2 linked regions of the Caenorhabditis elegans genome follow. The protein of the gene in region 1 purifies or fractionates together with the protein of each later gene. This does not show direct contact. Each region holds a gene or a part of one and is shown in the gene's direction. Other genes may lie near its edges.

Evidence for each region. Proteins that work in one complex are often made in the same cells at the same time.
Region 2: the proteins of pno-1 (region 1) and mmab-1 fractionate together in Caenorhabditis elegans (co-fractionation; one large-scale study listed by BioGRID). This does not show direct contact.

Annotation. Positions count from the first base shown.
Region 1 is NC_003280.10:9,737,525-9,745,433, reverse strand, and holds pno-1 (RNA-binding protein pno-1), read left to right. Parts: upstream 1-2,549; 5' UTR 2,550-2,560; coding exon 2,561-2,609; intron 2,610-2,678; coding exon 2,679-2,779; intron 2,780-3,198; coding exon 3,199-3,516; intron 3,517-3,564; coding exon 3,565-3,660; intron 3,661-4,970; coding exon 4,971-5,088; intron 5,089-5,139; coding exon 5,140-5,223; intron 5,224-5,987; coding exon 5,988-6,055; 3' UTR 6,056-6,208; downstream 6,209-7,909. Other genes in the region: Y53C12B.1 (U3 small nucleolar RNA-associated protein 13 C-terminal domain-containing protein), read left to right, coding at 1-473, 777-1,207, 1,253-1,919, 1,980-2,303. UniProt on the Caenorhabditis elegans protein: Part of the small subunit (SSU) processome, first precursor of the small eukaryotic ribosomal subunit.
Region 2 is NC_003281.10:4,918,472-4,924,364, reverse strand, and holds mmab-1 (Corrinoid adenosyltransferase MMAB), read left to right. Parts: upstream 1-2,617; 5' UTR 2,618-2,710; coding exon 2,711-2,747; intron 2,748-2,821; coding exon 2,822-3,073; intron 3,074-3,415; coding exon 3,416-3,638; intron 3,639-3,684; coding exon 3,685-3,817; 3' UTR 3,818-3,923; downstream 3,924-5,893. Other genes in the region: Histone-lysine N-methyltransferase set-2, read left to right, coding at 1-132, 196-423, 471-782, 830-940, 990-1,154, 1,208-1,363; ula-1 (NEDD8-activating enzyme E1 regulatory subunit), read left to right, coding at 4,049-4,163, 4,211-4,547, 4,600-4,689, 4,734-4,843, 4,895-5,079, 5,126-5,701, 5,748-5,893.

The DNA of each region.
Region 1 (7,909 bases):
AGCTTGTCGTTGGATACATTGAAGGACAATTGAACCTCTATAATATAATGAGAGGTGCTCCGAAAAAACTTGTAAACACATGGAAAAGTCATAATTCTCATATTACCGCACTGCTTCAAGTTCCGGATTCACGAGTTGTTGTGGCTCTTTCGCGAGATCAGACGATGAGTATTCATGAAACAGAAACTCAAGAAACACTCCGAGTTCTTCCACTCTACGAATCAATTGAAGGCGGAGCAATCGGACATAACGGAAATCTTTTCACTGTTGGAGAAGAGGGTGTTGTTAAGGAATTTGTGATTGAAACTGCGAAGTTGGTCAGAAAGAAAAGGATTGCCAGCTCGAATCTCGATCACTTGGCCTACGATGTTGTTTCTAATCGCTTTTTGGCAATTTCCGCCGAACAAAATCTTATAATTTTGGATTTTGAAAATCTGAAAATTGCAAGACAAATTGTTGGATTCCATGACGAAGTGAGTTTTATAGTTGACCTTGAAAGAAAAACAATGATTGCAAATTGGAATTGAAAACCATTTGTTGATATCATTTTTGTCATATCAAGTTGCTTTAATGTATAATTTTTCGAATGTAAATCTTTTATACAAAATTCGTAAAAAAACACCGAAAAACGAAAATATTTGATTTTATCATTTTTTTAATAATTTTTTCTTTGAATATTACCACTTTTAATATGCTCTCAAATTGCCAAGTAATATTTCTACGAATAGTAATAATTGGATTTAAGAACCTTCTTAATTATTATTCCCTATCTTCAGATCTATTCGTGCTGTCTTCTTGGAAAAGATGAATCTCACATGGCTGTCGCTTCCAATACTTCTGAAATCCGACTCTACAACACTAAAACCCTGGATTGTCAATTAATTCGTGGTCACACAGAATCAGTTCTTTCCGTAGTATCTCCTACCTGGGACACATCTCTACTGGCATCATGTTCTAAAGATAATTCGATTATCTTTTGGAGACTTGTAACATCTCCTGAAAATGACTCTTGCTCCACTCTGGTCCCAGTTGCGGCAGCTACAGGACATGCAAATACAGTAACTGCTCTAGCGATTTCCAATACCGGACGAGCTCCTTTCCTGGCATCAGTATCAACGGATTGTACTATCAAATTGTGGGGATTGGGAGTTTCTACAAAACTAAAAGAAGTCAAAATTGATGCAGAAAAAGATTTTGTCGAACAGCTGTAAGTTTGAAAACATTTTTATTGCGAAAATAATTCACTTTCCAGCCCAAAACTGACATGCAGTTCAACAATGGTTGCACATGGAAAAGATGTGAATTGTGTTGATATTTCCGAATCGGATGCTCTTATTGCCACTGGAGGAATGGATAAACTAGTAAAATTATGGCAAGTGGATACTCACAAAATGCAATTGGGAATCGCTGGAACTCTATCAGGACATCGTCGTGGAGTTGGAGATGTTAAATTTGCAAAGAATTCTCACAAACTTGCATCTTGCAGTGGAGATATGACCATTAAAATCTGGAACATCTCGGAAAAATCTTGTCTTCAAACCATTTCCGGACATTCTTGTGCTGTATTCCGAGTGATATTCGCTCGCAACGATTCTCAGTTGATCTCTGCAGACAGTGCTGGAATCATCAAGATTTGGACAATCAAAACTGCTGATTGTGAATGTTCCATTGATGCGCATACTGACAAAATTTGGTCGCTTTCGAAAAATCATAACGAGTCAGAGTTTGTGACTGCTGGAACTGATGGGCGGATTGTTGTCTGGAAGGATGTTACAGAGGAGAAACAAAAAGCCGAGGATAATAAGAGAAGAGAGGCTATTGAACAAGATCAGACTTTGACAAATTTATTGAGTCAGAAGAGATATTCGGAAGCTCTCGTGTTTGCACTGACTCTAGCCAAACCGTTTTGTGCTTTTAAGGTGATTAGTTAAATTCTATTAAATGAGTTTTGAATTATCCATTTTAAACTTTCTTTCCAGGTTATAAATGCTCTGATGGCTGAGGAGACACCAGAAGAACTCGGTTCCGCAATTCGCCGCCTTGACACCCGTCAAATTGAGATTCTACTGCAATTCACAGTGAAATGGAACACGAATAGTCGAACATCGTCAGTTGCACAACGAGTTTTGTACGAAATTGTTCATATCGTGGATCCAGAGGAGTTAGTGTCAATGCCCGGTGCATATGGATATATTGAATCATTCCTACCGTACACCCAACGGCACATGGATCGATTGGATCGGGCAAAGCAAGATGTTAGCCTATTCGATTTTGTTTGGAGACAAATGAGAAGCTCTGTCTGAAACGTTAAAACTTTTTTTGTTATTGTTGTTGGTTTTTGTTGAATTTTCAAGCTCATCGGATCTCTATAGTTATCTTTTTTATTTTTAAAGTTATTTGTTGTTTTTTTTTTGTTATAGCTCAATAATTTTTATAAAATTTGTTTCCTTTTCTCCTTTTCGCTCAGCCTAACTTAATTCGTTTATCACGGATTTTAATATTTTAAACATTTTTTTCAGTTAAATCTCAACCTTAACATTTATTTTCAGACAGAGGAAACATGGCCACTAGCAGCTCCGCTTTCGACGATGAGCTCCCAATGGAGGAAGGTAAGAATTTGATTTAATGGATTTTTTAAATTGAAAAATTAATAAAAAATAAAATAGTATTTTTTTCAGGAATGCCGGAACTTCTCGATGACGAGGATGTCCCAAGCACACTTCCATCACTTCTCGAGCAAAATTTGGACACTGCTCCAAAGGGGGATGAATTCAAATTGGTAAGTTGTCAAGAAAATTTTCTGTGGAGTTTCTTGATTAAAATTAAAATATCTCAAATCAAAGAATCAGTCATAATGGTTTTTATTTTGATTTTATAATACGACGGCGGTACTTTAACACACGAAGAAAACGACCTGGCCGACTACAAAAGGACAGTTTTTTTCTTGCCCAAAAATTCTTCTACTTTTAACGTCTTTCCTCATTCTGCTGCAAGTTTATTGTCGTTTGTGGCTGCGGCGGTCGCCTAAACGTCTAGAACGAGAATATGGAAACATTATGAGTGTTTTTGATGACGTTGGAACGAGTATGATTCAGAACAAACACTGAACAGAACGTATAATTTTTTTTGTTAGTTTTTAAAAATTAAAGCTGAATTTTTAAAAAAAATAAAAACAATTCCAAATTCCATAATTTTCAGGTAAAACGTAAGAGAAAGTCTGGAAATGCGATTGACGTCGTCATGGAAGACGTATCACAAGTCGACGAAGACGCCACCGCAGACACTGCAGATGACTCCACTGGACCAAAATCGTCGAAACGTACAAAAGGAGTGAAAGGAGAGTCTCGTGTAGTTCCGGTACCAAAGCATCGTTATACACCTCTCAAGGATAACTGGGTCAACATTTTCACACCGATCGTCAAAAATTTGGGACTACAGGTGCGTTTCAACTTGAAGAAGCGACAAGTCGAGATTAGAAATCCAGTGGATCGAGAAGACACTACAGATTTGCAAAAGGTTATTTTATTTTCTTATTTTTACATTTAATTTTAACTTTTATTTCAGGCCACAGACTTTGTTCGGGCATTCATTCTCGGTTTTGAAGTCAATGACGCTATTGCTCTTATTCGACTTGATCACCTGTTTTTGGAGACTTTTGAGGTAAACTTATTTCTAAATTTCTGAAAAATTGAAAAGAAACGCAAATTTTTTCTTCTTCTATCGGGTGATTCCACCAGATTGACACTTTGAAAATTTATTTATTAGACGACGAGTGACGGAAAATGAAACTTTGAGTTTTTGAAAATGTTCTGATATCTATTCAATAAATGTCAAAAATGGTTCGAGCGCTGAGATTGGCATGACGCTGAAAGACAGGTCGTAAAAAGAAGAAAGAGCAAAAGCATTTTTAAGAAAAAAGCTGTACATCGGAAAATATTTTCAGAACGGAGAAGATATTTTTGTAGAGTGGGAAAAGAATAATCTGAATTTTGTGTCAATTTTTTGTATAGTCCAGACGCGATTTTGCTTTTTTTTTTTAAATCACAACACTTTTTTTTTTTGCTGAAACTACTGTATCCGGTCTCGTCACGACAATTTTTTGTTAAATGAGAAAAGTTGTGCTCCTTTAAAGTGTAGTGTATTTTCAAACTCTCATTTCTGTAGATTTTTCATCGAAATTGTGGAGTTTTCAAGAAAATATTATGTATTTCTTAAAAATTCAAAAATAACGATGTAAACACATGAGATTTTTCTAAAAAATTCGTTACAAAATTGGGCAAATTGAAATTGCAGTACTCTTCAAAGGCACATGTCGAAACCGGGTACTGTAGCGCAAAATTTTCTTCCATCCAAAACAGAAAATCAGGATTTGGCGCCTTCAATCCTACCTTCTGCCCTTTTTTTCATTTCTGAATGTCTCATCGAAAAGCTCACTAACCTTGAAACGGTGTATAGAGAAGGAGCCATGTGTGTGTCCCACTCTTACACAAATGTCCCATTATTATCATGCTTCCAATTCATCCTTCGCAACCCCATTTCAACCTTTTTGACGCCAAACACCCGGCCAAATAAGCGTGTCTTTTTCCTCTATTCATCTATGCTTCTCCCTTCCTCGTTCAGTCGCCACTCCGCCTCTTTTTTGTCGCAGACGCGAATGAAGCCGGATTACGGTAGTTTTTGGGACGGGAAATGCTCGCAGCATTTATGTACGTTCGCTGTAATCAACTGATAAGAAATTATCAAAAACTAGAAGAAAGTAGAGGAGTTAGACATTTTGGGCCAAAAAAAAATTAAAATGAATATTTGTTATTCTAATAACAGACCTTAACAAATGATCAAAAGCTGTATTTGACAAGACATATTTATTTGATAATATAAACAATATTTTGTTGTTTTTACGAAACAATTATTGATAAGACACCACTGGTCTTACAGTTAAACTATTTATTCCAAAAATCACAAAATTCCAGGTCGCAGATGTGAAACACTCGCTGAAGGGCGATCATGTGAGCCGTGCCATCGGACGTATTGCAGGAAAAGACGGACGTACCAAACTGGTCATTGAGAACACAACCAAGACGAGAATTGGTAGGAAAAATGTCAGTGATCTAGGAAATTGCAAAAATTGAAATTTTTCAGTTGTCGCCAACACCAAAATTCACATCCTTGGAGCCTATCAGAACTTGAAACTCGCCAGAAATGCTGTTTGCAGTTTGATTCTAGGTGAGAAATTTCAAGAAGATTGGATTTTAAATGTTAATCATGATTTTGAAACATTAAAAAATTTTTTTTGTAAATTTGATTCCTGATTCATTGGTTTCCGAAAAATGCTGCCAATTTAATTGTCTGCGCCGTTTTTTTTGCACTTTTCGCGTTCGCCGTTGACACAAAAGCCTTTTGTGCGTATATGAGAAACATCCAAATTACATGGTGTCAATGCAGATATGTTTTTTTTGGTAGCTTTTTCCAAATTAATTTGCCATTATTCTACTTTTGTCTGTCTGTCACTTTTTGTGCCGTCTGGACAGGACCTGGTTCAGTCACGCAATAGGCGGCAGAAATATCAGAAGAGTAGGGGGACGGCAACACATTCATACGTATACATACACTTTCCAATACCACCGTGTCACATTTGATGGGACGCCATGAAAATGTGTGTTTGTACACAAATTCAGTGCGCACATGAAGATGAAGAATATAGAAAAAAAGCGAAGAAATGCCATTCGGGATGGGGTTTTCTCTGCGCACGAACACATCGTGGTTGCATTCCTGAAGGAGAAAGAGAAAGGTCGTTGCACTCGGTTTCTATTGCTGAAATGATGATGGACAGTTTGAGGTGTTGTGGTCTCACAAACACATATTCTTCCAAATATTACAGTGCATTTTTATTAAACATTGCAAAACTATCGAAAGATATATGCCCCTAAATTTAGATATTTAAAAATATCAAAAATCAAACTTAAAACTATTTAAAAACGAAATTTCAGGTTCGAACCCATCAAAAGTGTACGGAAGTCTTCGCAACATGGCATCGCGTGGAGCAGAACGTCTCTAATCAACAATTACATTTTTTCTGTCTTTTTTTTGTTTTTGTTCATCGTATTCCTTGTTCGTTTCTTTTTTAATTGTTATGTTACCACACCAATAATGCTTGTTTCTATATCTCAATTGTTGAGTTTGTTGAGATGATTTATGAACTTATACTTGGAATCTGCTAGTTTTCGGAACCTTCCCAATATAGTGCCCCTTCACCCATTCAGTCTAGACGTGCTCATTGTGCTCATCTCGTGCCACGAGCACCTCCCAGCACCACCATCCCACCGATCTCCGCCCTTTTTCGTACATTTCAGCACATGCAGTTTTAGACGTTTTAATGTCGTTCGCGTCGCGAGCCGCCGACGTTCGTCTTATCAGTAAGTTGACAAACTGCCAATCAAACAAAACCCCCAATGTGTACTGACTTTGGTTGAAGATTGTGAACAAGAAAAATGTTGCGACTTTTTTTTTGACTACGTTTGCACTTTTTCAAGATTTTCGCAACATTTTCAAGGAATGCAATCAGGCGGCAGCAGTCGGAAAAGAAATTGATAACAGAATGATCAATCACAAAATGGAGGAAATTTTCAAGCTTCAAAAGAATTTCAGCACAAAGTCCCCCTGAAAAGCTACGTGGATTCTCACAGAATGAATCCGACCTTTCCAAATGTTTTTTTTTCGGTTTAATGTGTTCGTTTGCGTTGCGTTTTCCGAATGGCATCGTCCTCGTCGCAAAACCGATTCGAATTGGTCGGTCGGTCGGCAATCTCCATTTTATGACCGTTTTTTTGGTGCTGCTGAGGCTGCTGTTGACTGGGATGTACCTTTGTTTCGCGTTGAGACCCCCGATCCATCTCATCGGGAGGTTAAAGCCCTCTTATTCATGTGGTTTAGTGATGTTTTTTTCTTGGTAAATGAGACAGAAATGGATGGAAATTACGGACATTTTAAAATTTTAGACAACAAATACGGTACCGGGTCTTGACACGATCAATTTTTCAGAGGACAAAAGAGTGTGCGCCTTTAAGGAGTACTGTATTCGCAAACTTTTCGGTGTTGAGCGGTATAGCTTTTTTTTCGTTGTTAAATTTTTTAAATAAATAAATACATTTTTATTGGGAGAACTGAAAATAAAACTTTTTAAAAACTCAGAAGCAACGAAAGTTTAAATTTAAAAAAAATATGTTTTCTGAAACAGGAGAAATTGGGAAATACCCTATGGTACGGTAACGGAAAAGTTTCATTCGTGCTAAGACCTTGTCTATGGGTTTCTACATGGCCGCGGAAGAGAAAGCTCGGCCGCCAACTTTTTTTCTGGAAATTGCTGTACGATCAAGTTTGCATACAGAACCAAGACGATTTAAAAATGAAAAGTTTATTGAAAAATCAAAAATAATAAAAATAAATCAATAATTATTAGACTCGATGCGTCGTGTGTTTGTATGTTTGGAAGTTCTATACATTTTTCTCTCCAAAAAATGTTTGGTTTTTTAAAACCAAAACATTAAAAAACATGATTTCACTTTTTTTCAAAATTATTACCACCGGGGGTGTCTAAAACGGACCGGTTAACTGTTTAGGATTTGATCCTATTTTCCGAGATAAAACAAAGAGAGAGGGAACGAGAATGAGAGACGCAGAGCGAGAAACAATACAGTAATCCTGGGAAAGTGTGGGCGGAGCTCAGCTCAATTTGGGCGGGGACAGTGGGAAATCGATGCAAACGGAAGAATATCGGTGAAATTTGGGAATTTTCGAAGAAATTGATGACATGATTAGGTGGCGAAGAGACATAGAAAGATAGTATGTGGTTTGGTGAGAGACGAAAAGATTATTTGAATTTAAAAAAAATGGGGATTTTTGGAATAACACA
Region 2 (5,893 bases), on another chromosome or scaffold:
GTTGCGGAAACCGGACCCTTGATTTACATGGATGTTGTTACTGCACCCAAAACAGTCCAGAAGAAGCAGAAACCGAGAAAACAAGTTTTTGAAAAGGATCCCTACGAGTATTATGAACCACCACCAACCAAGGTAAGTATTTTCTGTTTATTTAATTAATTGCTTTGTCAAATAATATAATGTGCGATCTTTCAGCGCCCAGCTCCTCCGCCACGCTTTAAGAAAACATTCAAACCACGATCTGAAGAGGAAAAGAAGAAAATCATCGGAGACTGCGAAGATCTGCCCGATTTGGAAGATCAATGGTATTTGAGGGCAGCACTTAATGAAATGCAAAGTGAAGTTAAAAGTGCTGATGAATTGCCCTGGAAGAAAATGTTAACCTTCAAAGAAATGTTGAGATCAGAAGATCCTCTGTTAAGAGTGAGTTATACTTTTACTACTATTCTATTCATCAACATAATTTTCAGCTCAACCCGATTCGTTCGAAAAAAGGACTGCCAGATGCTTTCTACGAGGATGAAGAACTCGATGGAGTAATTCCGGTAGCTGCTGGATGCTCTCGTGCTCGACCATACGAGAAGATGACAATGAAGCAGAAAAGGAGTCTTGTGAGACGTCCTGATAATGAATCGCATCCGACTGCAATCTTCAGTGAAAGAGATGAAACCGCGATTCGGCATCAGCATCTGGCCAGTAAAGATATGAGATTGCTCCAACGTCGATTGCTTACGTCACTTGGTGATGCTAACAATGATTTCTTCAAGATAAATCAGCTCAAAGTAGTTTTCCAAAAAAAAGATGTTTGCCATAAAACATAAATTTACAGTTCCGCAAAAAGATGATCAAGTTTGCACGTTCTCGTATTCACGGATGGGGTCTCTACGCGATGGAGTCGATTGCACCAGATGAGATGATTGTGGAGTATATAGGACAGACGGTCAGTTTTTTTTGTGAAATTAAATTCCGAAGTATTGATTTTTTTTCAGATCCGATCTCTGGTGGCCGAAGAACGAGAAAAGGCTTATGAACGTCGTGGAATCGGAAGTTCATATCTGTTCCGAATTGATCTGCATCATGTGATCGATGCAACAAAGCGTGGAAATTTTGCTCGATTTATTAATCACTCGTGCCAACCTAATTGCTACGCGAAGGTACGTAGTTAATTTGATAATCTGATTTTAAAAAAATAATTTAAAATTTTTAGGTTCTTACAATCGAAGGCGAGAAGCGGATAGTCATCTACAGCCGAACAATTATCAAGAAGGGTGAAGAAATCACGTATGACTACAAGTTCCCAATTGAAGACGACAAAATAGATTGTCTGTGTGGTGCGAAGACGTGTCGTGGATATCTTAATTGATATGATTCGTCTAGTTTTTAAAATTTATATTCCATTCGATCTCTTCTAGTTTTTTAATATTTTTTATTTATTTAAATTTTCCTATCCAATTCCCAATTCGCTGGTTCGAAGTTGGAAATTGCTATCTGATAAGAATAGGCCGGTTCCTACTTTTTTTTTAAATATTGAAAACTGTATCATTGTTATTCATTCTCCTTATGGTGAGCTGAGAAATCCTTGTATTATTAGTGGAATTCGTTATTGTTGAACAATTGTTTGAGTGTATGTTATACGATACAAGCTCCCCTTTTCAACTAGATACTTCTACATTTTATCAAATCTCTTGTTTCTCTATAGGTTTACGAATTGTTTTCTTGGAGGATTTCCTCTACAGTCTCTTGTTTATCTCTCTATACTTGAACATCTCTGAAATCATTCATTTTCCCTTGAACTCTGAACAATTGGTCTTTCCAAAACAACCTCCCATTCAAGTCTTTATTCATTCGTGTTTAAAGTTAATTTCAGCTAGTCTGAATAGTTTTATGTTTTAAAAAGTGTTTTATTATGTTCTTTAAATGAAATAATTTTAAAAGTCATGGTTTTCGTATTTTAAAAAATTTTGTTCATTTCAGTTCGATTCATATTTCTGGTATTTATCAGCGATAGTGAAGAGACCCGAAGAACTCGGGGGATGTCCAACTGGGGGGATTACCAACTCGGGGGATTGGCCCCGCCCACAGAACCGTGGCTTGCAATACGCCCATTTCTGCAACTGCCGCACGATTTTAAAATTGTATTTTTATCAATAGAGCGAGGATTAACAAGAAAAAATGATTTTAAAACCGTGCGGCAGTTGCAGAAATGGGCGTATTGCAAGCCACGGTTCTGTGGGCGGGGCCAATCCCCCGAGTTGGTAATCCCCCCAGTTGGACATCCCCCGAGTTCTTCGGGTCTCATAGTGAAAATTAAACAGGTTTTCCAGTTTACTATTTATTTAAAAAAATACCTATGTATATACATTTTTTTAAAAGTTACCTAGGTTCGAAACATGACCATTTTCGGTTCAAAAAATATGATACCGGATCTTTTCAATAATTCATGATTCGTTTTGTCATGTTTTTTGTTTCAATAATACCAGGGTAATATTATGCATCATCTCTCATACCAAATAATCTATAGAATAAGCTCGAAAATTTAAGAAAAATTTACCATTAGCAATTTCCTTGTCACCACGTAGTGGCCACTTTCAACTGATAAACCTATGTTTGCATTTAGATGATTCGGAGTTGCGTACGGTTGGCATCACAATCGACGAACAAACTTCTCATTTTTTCCTCATTGTCCCGTAACAGTCAACTCTACATTTCGATGAGCTCTTCTGATTTGGGAAGAGGATTTAAACAAGGTAAACGTCTAAAACCATCGATTATTTCAACTGAAAGAGCAACCGATTTTACTACGTTAAAATTAAATTTTCAGGCCGTGGAACTGGTGATTCTGGGCAATCTTCTCTGTACAACAATGAGCGTCGCTGGAAAGATGACGACACTTTCAATGCTCTCGGAGCAACCGATGAATTGTCTTCATTTCTTGGTGTCTGTGGAGCATCTGCTCAAAACGATGGTTCAATGAGCGATGTAGTGGAGACATTAACACGCCTTCAATGTTGTCTACAGGATGTTGGAGCTCATCTTGCTACTCCACCAAAAAATTCTTCGGAGAGAAAACAAAGTGTGTTTTTTTTCTAAAGAGTGAAAAATCTAAAGTTTCCGTTACCGATTTTCAATTTTGTATCTTTATTTTAAATCCCGGAAAATTCTTTCGAATCAAGAAAGTAGTCGAAGTGACTTGGTATTTTCAGAGAAAGTCAAAAAACTGAAATTTTTTCGGAAACCAAACAAATTTTTTCAAGTTTGGTTTATCAAAAAAAAAGTTAATTCTATTGAATTAAAATAAAATAAAAATCACATATAGAGGAAAGATCGGAGATTTTCATATGAAGGTCTCTGGCTTTATATTTTTCTAAAAAATAATTTTTAAAAATCACTATTGAGCCGTATTCTATTCTTTCAGAGAAAACTGCATTCGATATTGCAATGGTTGAATGGATAAATGCAGAAATCGATCGATACGGAGACGCGTTGCCTGCAATCCGACAATTTATTCTTTCTGGCGGTGGAATGACGTCTGCTCAATTACAGTATTCCCGCGCAATTTGTCGTCGAGCTGAACGGAGTATTGTTCCACTTATGAGAGACGAAGACGTCGATCCAATGGCATTAAAGTTCTTGAATAGGTACTATGGTTATCGATTCATCGTTAGTAAGAAATATCAATTTCAGAATGAGCGATCTTCTATTTGTTCTCGGTCGTACTGCCTGCATGAGAAACAAGAACGAAGAGCTGACATATCTTCGCCCCGATTCGTTCACCAATTTGAAATGGGATCGTAAATCTCTTCACGAGAAAAAATAATTTTTTTTATAAATATGTAGTTATCATTCTTGTGAAACTCGCCATACACTTCGTGTAAAATTTTTATTGAATAATCTTGCCATAAATATCAGATTTGTCTATATATATTTTTCTTTTTTGAGATTCTTTATAATTTTTTATATTAATTGATTGTGAACTCTTCATAATGTATATTTTTGTTTAGAAACCAAAACGAAATTTTCAGATTTCCAACTTGTATAATTTTAGAAAATGCTACCATTTGACCCATCCACTAGATACGATCGTCAAGTTCGACTTTGGGGAGAAGAAGGACAAGCATCAATTGGTTCAACAAGTGCATGTGTTCTTGGAAGCGATTCGCTAGGTATTTTTGAAAAAATTGAATTAAAAATCCAATCTAAATATTTTTAGCAACAGAAATATTGAAATCGTTGGTTCTCGCCGGTGTTCAATCATTCTATGTCGTTGATGACGCCAAAGTTGAACAAGCTGACATCGGTCAGAATTTCTTCCTCCATGCAGATGATATTGGACGTTCTCGTGCCGAGGCAACATTGGAGAAGCTTACCGAACTGAATCCATCAGTCTCTGGTAGTGCAAGTAGTCAGCCACCAACAGCGTTAGCTATGGAAGATGTGGAAAAGCTGACAACGTTTTCTGTGGTTGTTGCTGCAAATCAAAATGAAGAAATTGATACGACGTTCGCGAAAGTTTTGTATAATATTAGAGTTCCATTCATCTGTATCAAGTACGATATTTTCAAAATTTGAAGTTCTTGCAGTTAAAATTCCAAAATTCAGAACTTTTGGACTAATTGGTACCATTCGAATCTGCATCAAAGAACACACAATTGCTAACTCACACGAAGAGAATCCGAGACCTGATTTACGGTAAAATATACATGAAAACTTCCAAAAAAGTTTTTATTTCTCAGATTGGATGCTCCATTTTCAAAGCTTATTGAAATGATCAATGAAACAAATCTAGATGAAATGACTCTAGAACAACTCCGCCATACTCCGTATATTCTTCTTCACTTCAAAGGTTTTTCTCGCAATTATGGTTGTATTCTGTTATTTACCTTCTTAATTTCAGCTCTCGAAGTATTCAGAAAGCAACGAAATGATCCTGAAGCGTTCCCATCTACAACTGCGGAACGTAAAGAACTTCAGGCGATTCTTATGAGTTTCCGACGTTCGAGTGAAGAATCCGGAACCAAGGATTCTGAGAATTTTGATGAGGCGAAAGCGGCGGTTATTCGAGCTTTTCAAAGAACTACGGTAAGTTTTTGATAAATTATCCAAATTGATTCTCATTTCTAGTAAGTTTCAGATTGGTTCTTCTGTAAAATCGATTCTCTCTTCTCCACAATGTTCAACATCGACACGCCCATTCTGGTTAATCTGTGAAGCTCTTCGTCGTTTTGTCACCGAGAATAATAATCTTCTGCCTCTTCGTGGAACTCTTCCTGATATGACTTCTGATTCTTCTCGATACACTCGCCTCGCAACTCTTTTCCACGAAAAAGCTCTTTCAGATGCTCAGGAAGTGCTTCGTTTGACACGTGAAGTAGAGAAGGAACGAGGTGTTGGTGACGTCATATCGGATGACGTTTGCTATCGTTTCTGTAAGAACGCTGATCGGATTCGAGTTCAGTATGGCGATGTGCTTGACTACAACGAAGAAACCAAAGCAATTGTTGAGAAAATTCGTGAAAGCAATATTGATGAAGAGACTAGAAATCAGAAAGTTGATGAAGCCACGTGGATGCTACTGATGAGGGCAGTTGGAAGGTTCCAAAAAGAAAAAGGACGTTACCCAGGAACTAATGGAGTTCCAGTTTCAATTGATGCTCAAGATTTGAAGAAGAGAGTTGAAGTTTTGATTCGAGAAGCTTTGAAGGTTTATTACATTCGTTAGTGAAATTAAAACTATTAACAAATTTTAGGATGAACAGGACTTCACATCAATCTCAAATAAAGTGACAGACACTGCTATCGCTGAAATTTGTCGTTTTGGTGCTGCGGAGTTACATGTCATTTCATCGTACGTCGGTGGAATAGCTGCTCAAGAGATTATCAAATTGGCTACCAA